3 linked regions of the Sus scrofa genome follow. The protein of the gene in region 1 interacts with the protein of each later gene in a pairwise test. Links are inferred from orthologs where the notes say so. Each region holds a gene or a part of one and is shown in the gene's direction. Other genes may lie near its edges. The genes, in order: EWSR1, MAPK1IP1L and PRMT1.

What was found.
Region 2: the proteins of EWSR1 (region 1) and MAPK1IP1L interact in binary tests that used the Homo sapiens proteins (3 or more experiments, as listed by UniProt). The link is inferred for Sus scrofa from reciprocal best matches to the Homo sapiens genes EWSR1 and MAPK1IP1L.
Region 3: the proteins of EWSR1 (region 1) and PRMT1 interact in a two-hybrid assay, tested with the Homo sapiens proteins (2 studies listed by BioGRID and IntAct). The link is inferred for Sus scrofa from reciprocal best matches to the Homo sapiens genes EWSR1 and PRMT1.

The regions. Positions count from the first base shown.
Region 1 is NC_010456.5:46,415,195-46,418,830, forward strand, and holds part of EWSR1 (RNA-binding protein EWS), read left to right. Parts: intron 1-219; coding exon 220-343; intron 344-770; coding exon of another isoform or gene 771-788; intron 789-3,636. UniProt on the Homo sapiens protein: Binds to ssRNA containing the consensus sequence 5'-AGGUAA-3'. Might normally function as a transcriptional repressor. EWS-fusion-proteins (EFPS) may play a role in the tumorigenic process.
Region 2 is NC_010443.5:184,400,121-184,404,222, forward strand, and holds the start of MAPK1IP1L (MAPK-interacting and spindle-stabilizing protein-like), read left to right. Parts: upstream 1-1,223; 5' UTR 1,224-1,483; intron 1,484-3,356; exon of another isoform or gene 3,357-3,482; intron 3,483-4,102.
Region 3 is NC_010448.4:54,717,601-54,721,816, forward strand, and holds the start of PRMT1 (protein arginine N-methyltransferase 1), read left to right. Parts: upstream 1-1,299; 5' UTR 1,300-1,356; coding exon 1,357-1,392; intron 1,393-2,298; exon of another isoform or gene 2,299-2,654; intron 2,655-3,563; coding exon 3,564-3,617; exon of another isoform or gene 3,618-3,920; coding exon of another isoform or gene 3,921-3,923; intron 3,924-4,165; coding exon 4,166-4,216. UniProt on the Homo sapiens protein: Arginine methyltransferase that methylates (mono and asymmetric dimethylation) the guanidino nitrogens of arginyl residues present in proteins such as ESR1, histone H2, H3 and H4, FMR1, ILF3, HNRNPA1, HNRNPD, NFATC2IP, SUPT5H, TAF15, EWS, HABP4, SERBP1, RBM15, FOXO1, CHTOP, MAP3K5/ASK1, MICU1 and NPRL2.

The DNA.
Region 1 (3,636 bases):
TTTTTACAGCCACACATGAGGCATAATGGAAGTTCCCAGGCTAGGGGTCGAGTTGGAGCTGCAGCTTGCAGCAACACCAGATCCTCAGCGAGGCCAGGTATCAAACCTGTGTCTGTGTCCTCACAGACGCTGTGTTGGGTTCTTAATCTGCTAAGCCACAGCGGAATCTGCTAAGGAACTCCCTGTATGAAGTTCTTGAATCCTTTTTTCTTTGAGCAGGCGTATGGGCAACAAAGTTATGGAACTTATGGACAGCCCACTGATGTCAGCTATACGCAGGCTCAGACCACTGCGACCTATGGGCAGACTGCCTATGCAACTTCTTATGGACAGCCTCCCACTGGTAAGACTCTGGAGAGACTTTTGGACCATGTTAGCTAGGGTGTTTGCTTAAAAGCTTGTTACTTGTGCTTTGGGGTATATATTCTGATCAATACCCTGGCATCTGGGAATCCTTTATTAAGAGGAGTGGGGTTGGGGTTTTTCGTTTTTTTTTTTTTTTCCTTTTCTTTTACCTTGGGGGATCTCTAATAGAATGTGGGTGGGATAGAGTCCAAGGGAAAAAAGATCTTTTCCTTCTAACTGTTTTATACAGTGTATTGAATAATCTCACAACATAATGAAGAATATATAAAAGATTGTGCTAATGCTAGTGCTGGGAAAGAATGAGCTTTCTTAAACTGAGCTGCTTAAAAATCAAACCAATTTTCCCATCTGTTTGCTTCATCTGATAGTGTGCCCTCTACTTTTTTGTTTTGTGCTTTCCACAGTAGAAGGGACCAGTACAGGTTTGACTATCCTGCTCATTCTTGCATGGGAAATGCTTTCCATCTTGTCTAACCCTGTAATGTTAATTATTTAGGTGTTTTCATTTGTTTAACCCTCAAATATTCTAACATCACACACAACAAGGTGCTAATGGAAAACTGCTTTAGGTGCCATTTGCAGATCCATGTCCTTTTTTCTTTATGTGATTTTGGGAAAGGTTTTGCTTTGTTTTATTTTACATTATTTTGTGTCAGGCCCTAACAATAGTTGTTCACTTTCCCAAAGGTATTTCAGATGATTACTCCCCTATTCCCTGAAGGATAGATTGCATGATTAGATTTATTTAGAGGAACAGATTGCCACCCTGCATGTATTATGTTTGTCTGTAAATGTTTCGGTCCAGACACATTTTATTTTCTCAGTGTTGATTCTTTTAATCCATAGTATGTCTTAAATATATATAAAAACATTTCAGGGAGCTTTAAAAAAAAAAAAGAAAAAACTAAGAATTAGAATAAACTTTATCCTAATACTGGGGTTGAAGTGGAGTGTGTGAAAATTTTATGTAACTTTTTGGCTGCAGTTGTGACATGTGAAAGTTCCCAGGGCAGGCATTGGACCTGTGCTGCAGTTTCAGCCTGTGCTATAACTATGGCACTGCCAGATCCTTATCCAGCTGCAGTATACGGGAAATTCACAATTTTTACATAACTTTTTTTAGGTTCAGGGCTATGTAACATTCAGAATCCTTACTTCTCCCCGCCACCTACTCCTAACATCGTCATCATTATCATTGTTAAAATATTTAGGAGTTCCCATCGTGGCTCAGCAGAAACAAATCCTACTAGGAACCATGTGGTTTGCGGATTTGATCCCTGGCCTCGTTCAGTGGGTTAAGGATCCGGCATTGCCGTGAGCTGTGGTGTAGGTAGCAGATGAGGCTCAGATCCCACCTTGCTGTGGCTTTGGCGTAGGCCAGCGGCTATAGCTCTGTTTCAACCCCTAGCCTGGGAACCTCCATATGGCACAGGTGCGGACCTAAGAGGCAAAAAAAGAAAAAAAAAAAAAAGTACTTGATACAAAAGTCTTAAGGATGTAAAACCTTTTATTAAAGTCATTGATAGGGAGAAACATCTGTAATTTATCTTTTGCGTGGCGTCTTTCATTTGATGGGAAGTACTTCCTAATCTACCTAATTAATGCATATTATTGAATAGGTTGGGAAATGTTTAAACATTCTATGAGTGTTAGTTGGCAACTATAGAAAAAGCTGGAACTGAAATTAAAGGGTTTGTATTTTCAGCACAGAATTTTGAAATTGTGAGATAAACTTTACATAGTGAAGCTGTTAAATCTTTAATGAGATGTAATGGACATGTAACATTAGTTTCAGGTGTAAAACATAATGATTCTGTGTGTATATTGTGAAATGATCTCCATAATAAGTCTAGTTAACATGAATCACCATGCATCATCCTTTTGATGAGAACTTAAGATCTACTCTCTTAGCAACTCTGTACAATGCAGTATGGTTAACTGTAGTCACCTTGCTGTGCATTACGTCCCCAGGACTGATTTATAATGAAGTTTTGTATCTTTTTGACCACCTTAACCCATTTAAAAAAGTATCTCAAATTAAATAAAACAGCTTAAGTCTAGTCTTTGGATCATTTTTATAGTAACGTGATAAAGTCATTTGTAGGAAACCGTTTTCTAAGTTCTATAGAGCCATCTATTCGCTTTGTCATTGAAAAAGTCCCATCATGACTGGTCACAAAAAGTGTAGGACATTCTAGTACAGAAACTGGTAGTTTGGATGAGCAAGAAATTGTACTTAATAAGGAATGTTAATAGAGACTTTATAGTTTATGGAGGACCCTTCATAGCTCCCCTAATTCTCTCATGAACTTTTGGAATATAGAAACTAATATTAAACCTGGTGAGCAAATTGGGGCTGAACCAGACTACGTAGGACTTAATAGTAAGAGTAGGTTCAAGAGCAGTTAGTAATTTTTTCTTTATTTCACACTGTCTTTACATATAAAATTTATTGGAGGATTCCCATTGTGGCTCAGCGGGAACAAACCTGGCTAGTATCCGTGAGGATGTGGGTTCGACCCCTGGCCTTTCTCTTTGGGTTAAGGATCTGTCATTGCTGTGAGCTGTGGTATAGGTTGCAGATGTGGCTTAGATCCTGCATGGCTGTTGCTGTGGCATAGGCTGGCAGCCGCAGTTCCAATTTGACCACTACTCTGGGAACTTAAATATACCACAAGTGCAGCCCTAAAAAGCAAAGAAAGAGAAAAAAAGGTTATTGGATAATTATTGGAAGACATATATAAAAAGACTATTTTAGAATATTTTGAAATTACACTTCGTGAGAAGGAGACTATACAAAGCTCAGTTCGTTAAGCTTTTAGAATGAGTTTTTGCTATTCAGGTTGAGTAAAAATTTTAGTTGGTTTGTGTGATGTTTCTTAGTACCTTTTTCCTTGAATTTATCAACACAGTAGGTGTGTTGTCTTTTTGCTTTTGGTCTTTTTTTAATTGTAATTAAATCATTCTGCCCTGTTAATTTTTGCTCATTTTGCTTGGCTGCTTAATGGGTACTACAATTAATTAAAATATTATTAACTGAATCTCTTGCTGTATAGCACTACAAGGCTTTGTTGCTGAGTATTTTTATGAGTTCCCTTATTAAGTTTTGGTTTTTTTTTTTTTTTTTTTTTTAGTCTTGTACATCTTATAGGTGGCCTATTATGTAGGGAAAAAAATCTTTGTAGGAGTAATAGGGTGGGTAGACTAGATTCCAGTTAAATTTAAATAAATGAGTGCTTTATATGGTTGACATTAAGGACTTTGCAAAGA
Region 2 (4,102 bases), on another chromosome or scaffold:
AGGTTGCTGGTTTGGTCCCTGGCCTTGCCCGCCTTGCCAAGTGGGTTAATGATCCGGCGTTGCCATGAGCTGTGGTGTAGGTTGCGGACGCGGCTCGGATCCCGCATTGCTATGGCTGTGGTATAGGCCCCCGCATTGCTGTAGCTGTGGTGTAGGCCGGCGGCTACAGCTCCGATTCGACCCCTAGCCTGGGAACCTCCACATGCCGCGGGAGCCGCCCTAGAAAAGGCAAAAAGACAAAAAAAAAAAAAAAAAAAAAGAAAAGAAAAGAAATTTACAGTAAAATGTCCCTTCAACATCTTACGCAAAGAAGCAAAAAGTTGTAAAAATATCGCATACTTGTAATTTTTACATGTAAAATACATGTACGTTTTATATGTGTTTTGCCCATAGTTATGCAAAATTATTACCACATAGCTATATATATATATACCACATAGCTATATATAGCTGGTAATCTTCATTACCAGCTAGCTAGCAGGTTCCTTGATGGTGGGGCCACGTGTCAATCATCTTTTGGGTGTGACAGAGTAGGTATTTAAAGGTATATTCGAAAGTGGACAAGTGGAGTGAGACTCTCCGCGTAGCAGCGGGTTAAGGAACCGGCATTGTCAATGCTGCTGCTTAGGTCGCTGCTCTGGCTCAGCAGGTTCTACCCCTGGCCCAGGAACTTCCACATGCCAGGCGTGGCAAAAAAAAAAAAGTAAGGACAATACTAAATGAGAAAAATCTACAAAGACATCCGTTGTTTCTGTAGTTAGTATCAATTTGTCAAGCTATTTATAAACAAAATTTTTTTTGTCTTCCCCTTCCCGTATGGTTGCTTTAGCTCTCCCCAGTTTTGGTCAAATGATCCATGTCCAGAGATTAGGCTGCTTTCACACCTAGCCAGCTGTGGCTCTAGAGACCACCAGCTGTAGGGAATCCAGAACCTGCCTTCAAGCCTCTCCAGGAGACAAGTTAGCAATTTCAGCCAGACTGCTCAGAACGTCACCGGCCCCTAGCGTTTCCTCCAGATTGCCCAAAACTCCGGAAAACCCAGAGCTTTCCTCTAGCCCAACTGGAGGAAAGAGCCGCCCTAGGGCAAGCACAAGGGGCAGGGGGCCGCGGGGGCCTGGACGGCCGCAGTGCTACCGGGCCCCTCTAGGGGGCGCGCGCGGCCGGCCCGACCCAGCCGAGCCGACCCGAGGGAAGGCGGAGCGCGGGCGGGGGCTACGCGCTCGGAGCTCGACGCTTCCTGTTCCGGCGCCAGGAGGAGCCGCGCGCTGCTGGTGCTGCTGGTGCTGCCGCCCCCGCCGCCGTCGCCGCTGCCGTCAGTAGGGTTGCGCTCGGTTCTTCAGCGCCAAGTTCCTGCGGACCCATCGCCACTTCTAGACCTTTCCGCGGGCTCGGATCTTGTCGGGTGAGACTGCTTGGGCACTAGCGGAATCGTGGAGGAGAGCGAGGGATCACGCCCAAGCGGGAGGCGGGAGCGGTAACGGAGGTGACTGGAGTAGCTTCTTGGGGGATGGAGGGCTAAGGCTTTCCCCCCGTCATCCTGCTCCCGGCAGCGGGCTGATCTCCGGATCGCCCCCCGGGAGGAGGTGTGGGAGGCGGGTGACGTCGCTCGGGACGGGTTTCTCCGTGCTTGACGTCAGGCTTGGCTGGGGGGCGGGGCGGGGAGCGGGCCTGGCCCCTCCCCCACCCCTTCCCGGGCGGGCACGACCCCTCCCCCATCCCTTCCCGGGCGGGCACGACCCGCTCGCTAGCCGGTTAGCTCCGGTTGATCCCGGACTCCTTTTGTTCGTCTGGCCCTAAAGGGCTGCGGGCCTCGAGCCCCTTGGCCCAGCCCGCCTCCCTCATTCATTACTTCTACTGAAAGGGAGAGGCAGGCCCGATTCTTGGAGGCGTCCTTGGAGCTAATTGAGATTATTCGCAGTGTAACATTCTGGTCGGTATTTCTAGAGCAATTGAAAGCAATTAGAGGAACACCCGTGACAGAAACTATGAGAAGTCCTCAGTTTTGTAATACTCCCCATTTTTAGGATTTAGGAGCGCTTGGTAGCTTTGGACCGTTTTCTTTTAAAAACCAAGAGTAATACTTTTAATAAATATAGATTCTACTGTTGAAGAATCAAACCGTACCCACCTGACCGGAAAAAAGTTTCTAGCATTGCTAGTAAAGAAATACACACTCAGACACCTAGTGGTTCTGAGCGCCTGTTTTGAAAACTAACTCTCATTACATGCGAAGGTAGCCTTAAGAAATCTTACAAAAGTTCTTTTGTTCAGGAGTGTTCATGGGGCAGGAAGAATAGAAATTTTCCTTGCTGCTGGCATTTCTGAACCTCCTGGTCATAACTAGGTTGTCTCCAACTTGTATATACCGGCGTGTTCTTCTCCTCTTTCCAGGAGGAACAGAGCCAATCGCCTAATCGAAATCTTTGGGATCAGTATGTTTTGGAATTCAGAAATCTTTGGATTTTTATCTTTAGAATTTAGAAAGACAATAAGGTGCATAGATGAGAGATCACTCCAGCAGAGTCTGGGCAGCACCCTAATCCATTATTAACATTTGTGCAGATATAGGTAGGAATTAATGAAAATGAGAAATAACGTCAGGTCAGATTTTTGCCACCAAGTAAGGTGTACACCGAACTTGGGAGCATTTCTTTCATTTTTAGAGGTTTCTGAATTGAGAACTACAGATAAGGTTTGTGGACCTATGGTAGCAGTTGTAAAAGCTGAGTTTTGCTGTGTGCCAGACAGTGACCAAGAGGTGTGTTTATTATGCAGGTCTCAATAAATCTGAGTGAGAGTGGGCGCTATTCCAGTCTGCTTTCACCTCTTAGGTTTGCAAAGTTCAGCTTGTCCAGAACCTGCCAGGGGAGAACTGCAATGTTATCTAGTCAGTCATACTTCTGGTGTTTTAACCATATGGAATTCGCCCATGTACCACGGAACGCAAGATAGTATATTTTCCAAGCACTTTTGTTATAGGCACTGGATTTACCAGTCCCATTTAGTCTGTCACATTACCAGCCCATTCTTTTAGTTGAAGTAACAGGTTCATTCAGATGAGCTGACAGACATTCGCACCTTGGTCTGGATACTGCTAAGGCTTACGTCTTCCCCTCTCTATATTCCCACCATTCTGAACTGCTTACATGTCCTTCCCACATCTCTCTTTCATCTCTTGCAGCTTTTGCAGACTTCTCCTCTCCCTAGAGCCTGTCCCACCATCCCCTACTCCCAGCTCTTTCCTCATTGTTCTTCCAGACTGCACAGGCACCACTCCTCAGGATTCCTCCCCTGATACCCTTGCCTTGACTCCTTTGGGAGCTCTTCAGGGTACCCCCATAGTGCCCTGTGCTTACCTGCGGTCAGGTAGCTTCTGTTTAGATGCTAGATCTCTGACAGACCAGCAGCACTTCAAGCCTTTATTCCATGTTCATTTCCCCAAGGCCCAACACAGTACCTGGCACATATGTTCCAATAAGTATCTGAATGTAGAAAATATGGCTGATGTGAGGTTGCTGGAAATATTATTTTTTAATTATATGTTTTTAAGTAACTTAAAGTGTCTGAAATGTTGCAAATCCCTAATTTCTGGAGTTGCCTAAATACAGAGCTTATCTGATAAAAGCTAACACAACTTTCAGATATGCTAATTCAAAAAATACATTTCCACGAAAGTTCCTGTTGTAGAGCAACAGAAACAAATCTGACTAGGAACCATGAGATTGTGGGTTCAATCCCTGGCCTCGCTCAGCAGGTTAAGAATCTGGCATTGCCATGAACTGTGGTATAGGTCACAGACCAGCTTGGATCCTTCATTGCTGTGGTTGTGGGGTGGGCCGGCAGCTGTAGCTCCAATTTGACCCCTAGCCTGGGAACCTCCATATGCCATGGGTGTGGCCCTAAAATAGTAAAAATATATATATATATTTTTTCTCAGTACACTATATTACCATTATCCTCTCGTCCCCATACTAAACAAAACAGTGCAAAAATCCTGCTCTCTCTTAGTGATTCTTAATAAATATCTTACTTCTTTATAACATGTTACAGATTATTAGATATTTTACTAACATGTGGTCAAGAATTACAACTGTTTTGCTGA
Region 3 (4,216 bases), on another chromosome or scaffold:
AAAAGGGAAAACATAGATCCAGAGAAAGCCTTGGTCATGATGGTTCACAGCCACTCTATTCCTAACAGCCCTATCCTGGAAACCACCCACATACCCACATACCCATCAAGAGGAAAATGTAACCCATGGATTCAATGGACTACTCCTCAGCCATGAAAAGGACTGGACAACTGCTAGGTGTGACATGAATGATTCTCAACAGCATTATGCTCAGTAAAAGAAGACAAACACTTGTGTACATACTGTAATTACATTTTTACAAAAATGTTTTTATCATTTTTACGAAATTTTAGACATGGAAAAGATGCGTGACGGTGACAACACAGAAAGTGATGGTTTCTGGGGTTGGGTGGGGAGATGTTGAATAGAAAAGGTCATGAAAGAACTTTCTGGGGTGATGCATATATTCTGCCAGTGGCACTCATCTTCATTCAGTACGTAATTTTCCTGCAGGTTTAGGAAGGCTCCCTGGAGGAGGTGGCAGCTAAAGGGCGCCCTGACTGACAAAGGAGTTGGACAGAAAAAGGGGGCGTGTGTTACCTGCAGGGGTGGACTTGGCAAAAAGCAAAGTGGCTTGAGTGGGGTCACTGGGTTTAAAAAACATGGAACAATTAAGTAGCGGGCCAGGGGTTAAATACCTTGACGCCCGAGCCCCATTCCTGATTTGTTTCGGGACCCCAGACATGAACTCCCTCTCTTTGGGCCTCTCGTTGGGTCAGTTTTCCTTCAGGAAAATGGGCACAAGCTCCTTCGTTCCTCCTGAGTGCCCGCCCCTCCGGCTGGGAGAAGCCATCAAAAGGGCGATGACTGACAGTTCTATTGAGCCAATCGCTGGAGCCTAAAGCCCTGCCTTCCTTTTTCGTGGGCCAATCGTCACGTTCTCCTTGAGGCCGGCCAAAAGCTTCGTGACGTCACAACAGCTGATAAACCAATAGCAGCCATCAAGAGGCGGGTCATTTTTGTGATAGACTGCTCTGTTTCAAGATGTCCGCTTGGCGCGGGGTCCGCCGGGAAGCTTGAAGGCGGTGCTGAGGGGAAAGGGGCGGGAACTCCCTGTTGACTTTGCCCAATCACCTGTCGCACTTCTTGCGATAGACAGGCAGTCCCTCCCATCCCGGTCGACCTAAAGGGGCGGGGTTCTGGACGCCAGACTGGGCGGTCTCCTCAATTTTGATGGGCGTCTTTTTAGCCCAATTGCAAAGCGGTATTCCCAGACGGGTCACCTCCGTTACCAATGAGATCTCCTGGCGGGGTCGCGGTGGGCGGGCCGTGGACCCTCCGGTATAAGGCGGTCCCGGGGGAGTGCGGAGAAGGGGGGGGTCTCGGCGGCCGGAGGAGGAGTAGGTGCGGGTGAAGATGGCGGCAGCCGAGGCCGCGAACTGCATCATGGAGGTGAGCGCCTGGAGCGCCGTCGGGGGCGGGGGGCAGTTTGAGGGTCAGCGTTTTATGCCTCCGTCGTGGGGAAGGGGCTCTGAGTCGCCGGATTGGGGTTGAAATCCTTTAGTCGTACGGAGGGGGCGCCGCATGCTCCGGATCCGGGATGCCGTTTGAGGTGCGGGTTCCCTAGCTTTCGAGCGCCTGTGGCACCCCCTAGAATCGAGGGTCTCGTGCCCCCTCCCACGATGAGAAGGGCTGGGGGCGCTTCCGGCCTGGTCCCCACGTGGCCGCAGCGCGGTGGGTGGGGAGGGGGTGTGCCGTGCCCGCCGGCCGGGCGGCCTCCACGTGCGGGACAAAGGCCCCGCCCCCGGTCGGGGGAGGGGCGCCCTGAGGGGGGGCGGGGAGGAGGCTCCGACCCTCCCTCTGAGGCCCCCTGCCCTCCTCCCCGGGGATCGTGACAAGCATCTCGGGGTGGGACTGACTTAGGGGCTCCGCCAAGTAAAGAGTCTCTTGGGAGGGCCGATGTATCTTGACCCTGAACAAACCCTTTGTGGGAGCGGGGCATCTGCTTAGGCATCGGTCCAGGTTTCGTGCATTCTTGAATTGGGATTGGAGGAAGACGAATTGGTTCCCTCTGGGCCCCCCTCCCACCCCAGTTTCCTGTCGATGGATTCTCCCCCGCCCGGGGCTTGGGGAGCTGGCGGGGGGGGGTGGAGCATGCCCCTGTGACCTCCCTCTGGTTGGGGGGGGGCATCTAGCAGAAGGAGGTCCTTCCCGAAAAGGCGTCGTGCACCCCCTTGTGGCCATTTCTGCTGTGTGGGAGGGACCTCTTTTTCATGGGGCGTGTCCCAAAGCCCACCTCCCCGCTGGAGCCTTCCAGGCGAGGGGAGAGAGAGTCTGTCTTGGGAAGGGGATCTGAGGGACTAGAGGCCGCGAACGTTGCTCCGTTTCTCTCCCCAGGGCATTTGTGAGGGTGGGAGTGAAACCTCCCCCTTCCTGAAGCCCTGTGTGAGGGTCCGGAGCGTGGATGCCTTAAACGGTGTTCCGTGAGGTTTGGTTCTCGTGCAGGCGTGTGAGGCTGGTTCCGGTGCTGAGTTTCAGGCCCTCCGGGGGCCTGCCTGGCGGAGGTGTCGGTGCTGAGAAGTAGGACCCAGCGGGAAATCCCCGCACAGGCCGCCCTCCTTTTTCCGCGTGTTCACGGGTTTGGGAGAATGGAGGTGGGGCTTGGAGCCCAGGGGGCTTCTGTCTGTGGTTTCACGCTTCTCGGAGCCTGACGGGTGGGTACATCTGGAAGAGATGCGATCCGGCGGGGCCTCTGTACTCTGGCCCGGTACCTTGTAGCCCTCTCTGGAATGGAGGGGAGCTCCCAGGGGTCACTCCAATGACTCCTGCCCCCCTCGGCTCTCTCCTGGGCCAGGGCCCGTGTGGGTGGAGGAAAGCGCTTCCCCAGAGGTTGCCCCAGGACTTGGCCCCGCACCTGGGGAGTTTCAGGGCCTGCCGCGGCGGTTGTTTGAATGTGGGCAGATGGGCTGAGGGTCCTGGGTCTGGCCTCCCCCGGCAGAGGGTAATAATCAGGGCGACTGGCTCTAACTGGCTTTGTTTGGGACTTGGCTGAGTCCAAGGCAGCAGCCAGGGGCCGGGCTGCCAGCTCTCGAGGGGGTGCCTTGTGCCACACCTCCTTTCTGGAATCCTCTCAGACAAGAGACTGGTTTGCAGTGGTGGCAGATGCCCAGTGGGTACACCCTGCCAGCCCCCCTCCCCCAGCTACTTAGGGCACCCAGGATGCGGGTGTGTGTCAGGAAGTGTCACCTAATCTGGGGGGATTAGATGATGAGGGGGAGTGACAGCTGGCAGTGCCTGTGTGCCCAGTGGGTGCCAGTTCCTCTGGCCTGGATGGGGGAGGTGCGCACGGTCAGGTGCCTTGCCCGACCGAGAGGGGCTGCGTGGGGGCAGGCCACCATCTCTCCAGCCTCAGCAGGGACAGAACCCCCTCCTCTCTTCCTCTGTCTCTCCCACCCCTTTCAAGAACAGTGTTCCCTCTTTGCTCACTCCCTCTCCCACACTCCCCACAAAGCAAAGCCAAATTGTAGGAAACACCCCCTTCTCCAAGAGCCCGGGTCCCCTGGCCTGGCCCTCCCCTAGTCTCTCCCAGTAGCTAATCCTTTCTCCCTGTTACTCTCTCCTAGAATTTTGTAGCCACCTTGGCTAATGGGATGAGCCTCCAGCCGCCTCTTGAAGAAGTAAATATCCTTTCGTGAGCCCCTTCCCCACATAAACATACCTCATCACACATCAGGCCCTTCCTACTGGCCCAACTCTGAGCCCTCTTGCTTCAAACCAGTTTACCCTGTGCCCCCGAAACACTTAGCCCAAACTCCCTCCAGGTTTGTGGCCCCCATCTGGCCTCCCCCGAACACTGCGGCTACTTCCTTAACTCCATTTCCAGCCCTCCTCTGTCCTTACCGGTGTCTGCCCGGGTTCTGCCTTCCCTCCCCTCCCCTGCTGTGGGCTGAGCTAGAGACGGGGGCAGAGAGACTGGAGAGATGGTAGGCCTGGCTGAGGTATTGGGGGACTCTACTGGATGGTGCTCTGGGGGGTCCTGGAAAGGCAAAAGGGCTTGTTCGGTTTGGGGGTTCCTGGGAGAGGCACGGTGGCGAGCGGGGTCTGTAGGCTTGCCGTGGGACCGTCTGGGGGTGGTTCTCTCCTCCAGGGAGAAGTAGGGACCTGGAGGTTCGAGTCTGTGGGGAGCCCTCAGATTTGACCTCTGCTCCCATCCGTCCCCTGCCAGGTGTCCTGTGGCCAGGCAGAAAGCAGCGAGAAGCCCAACGCCGAGGACATG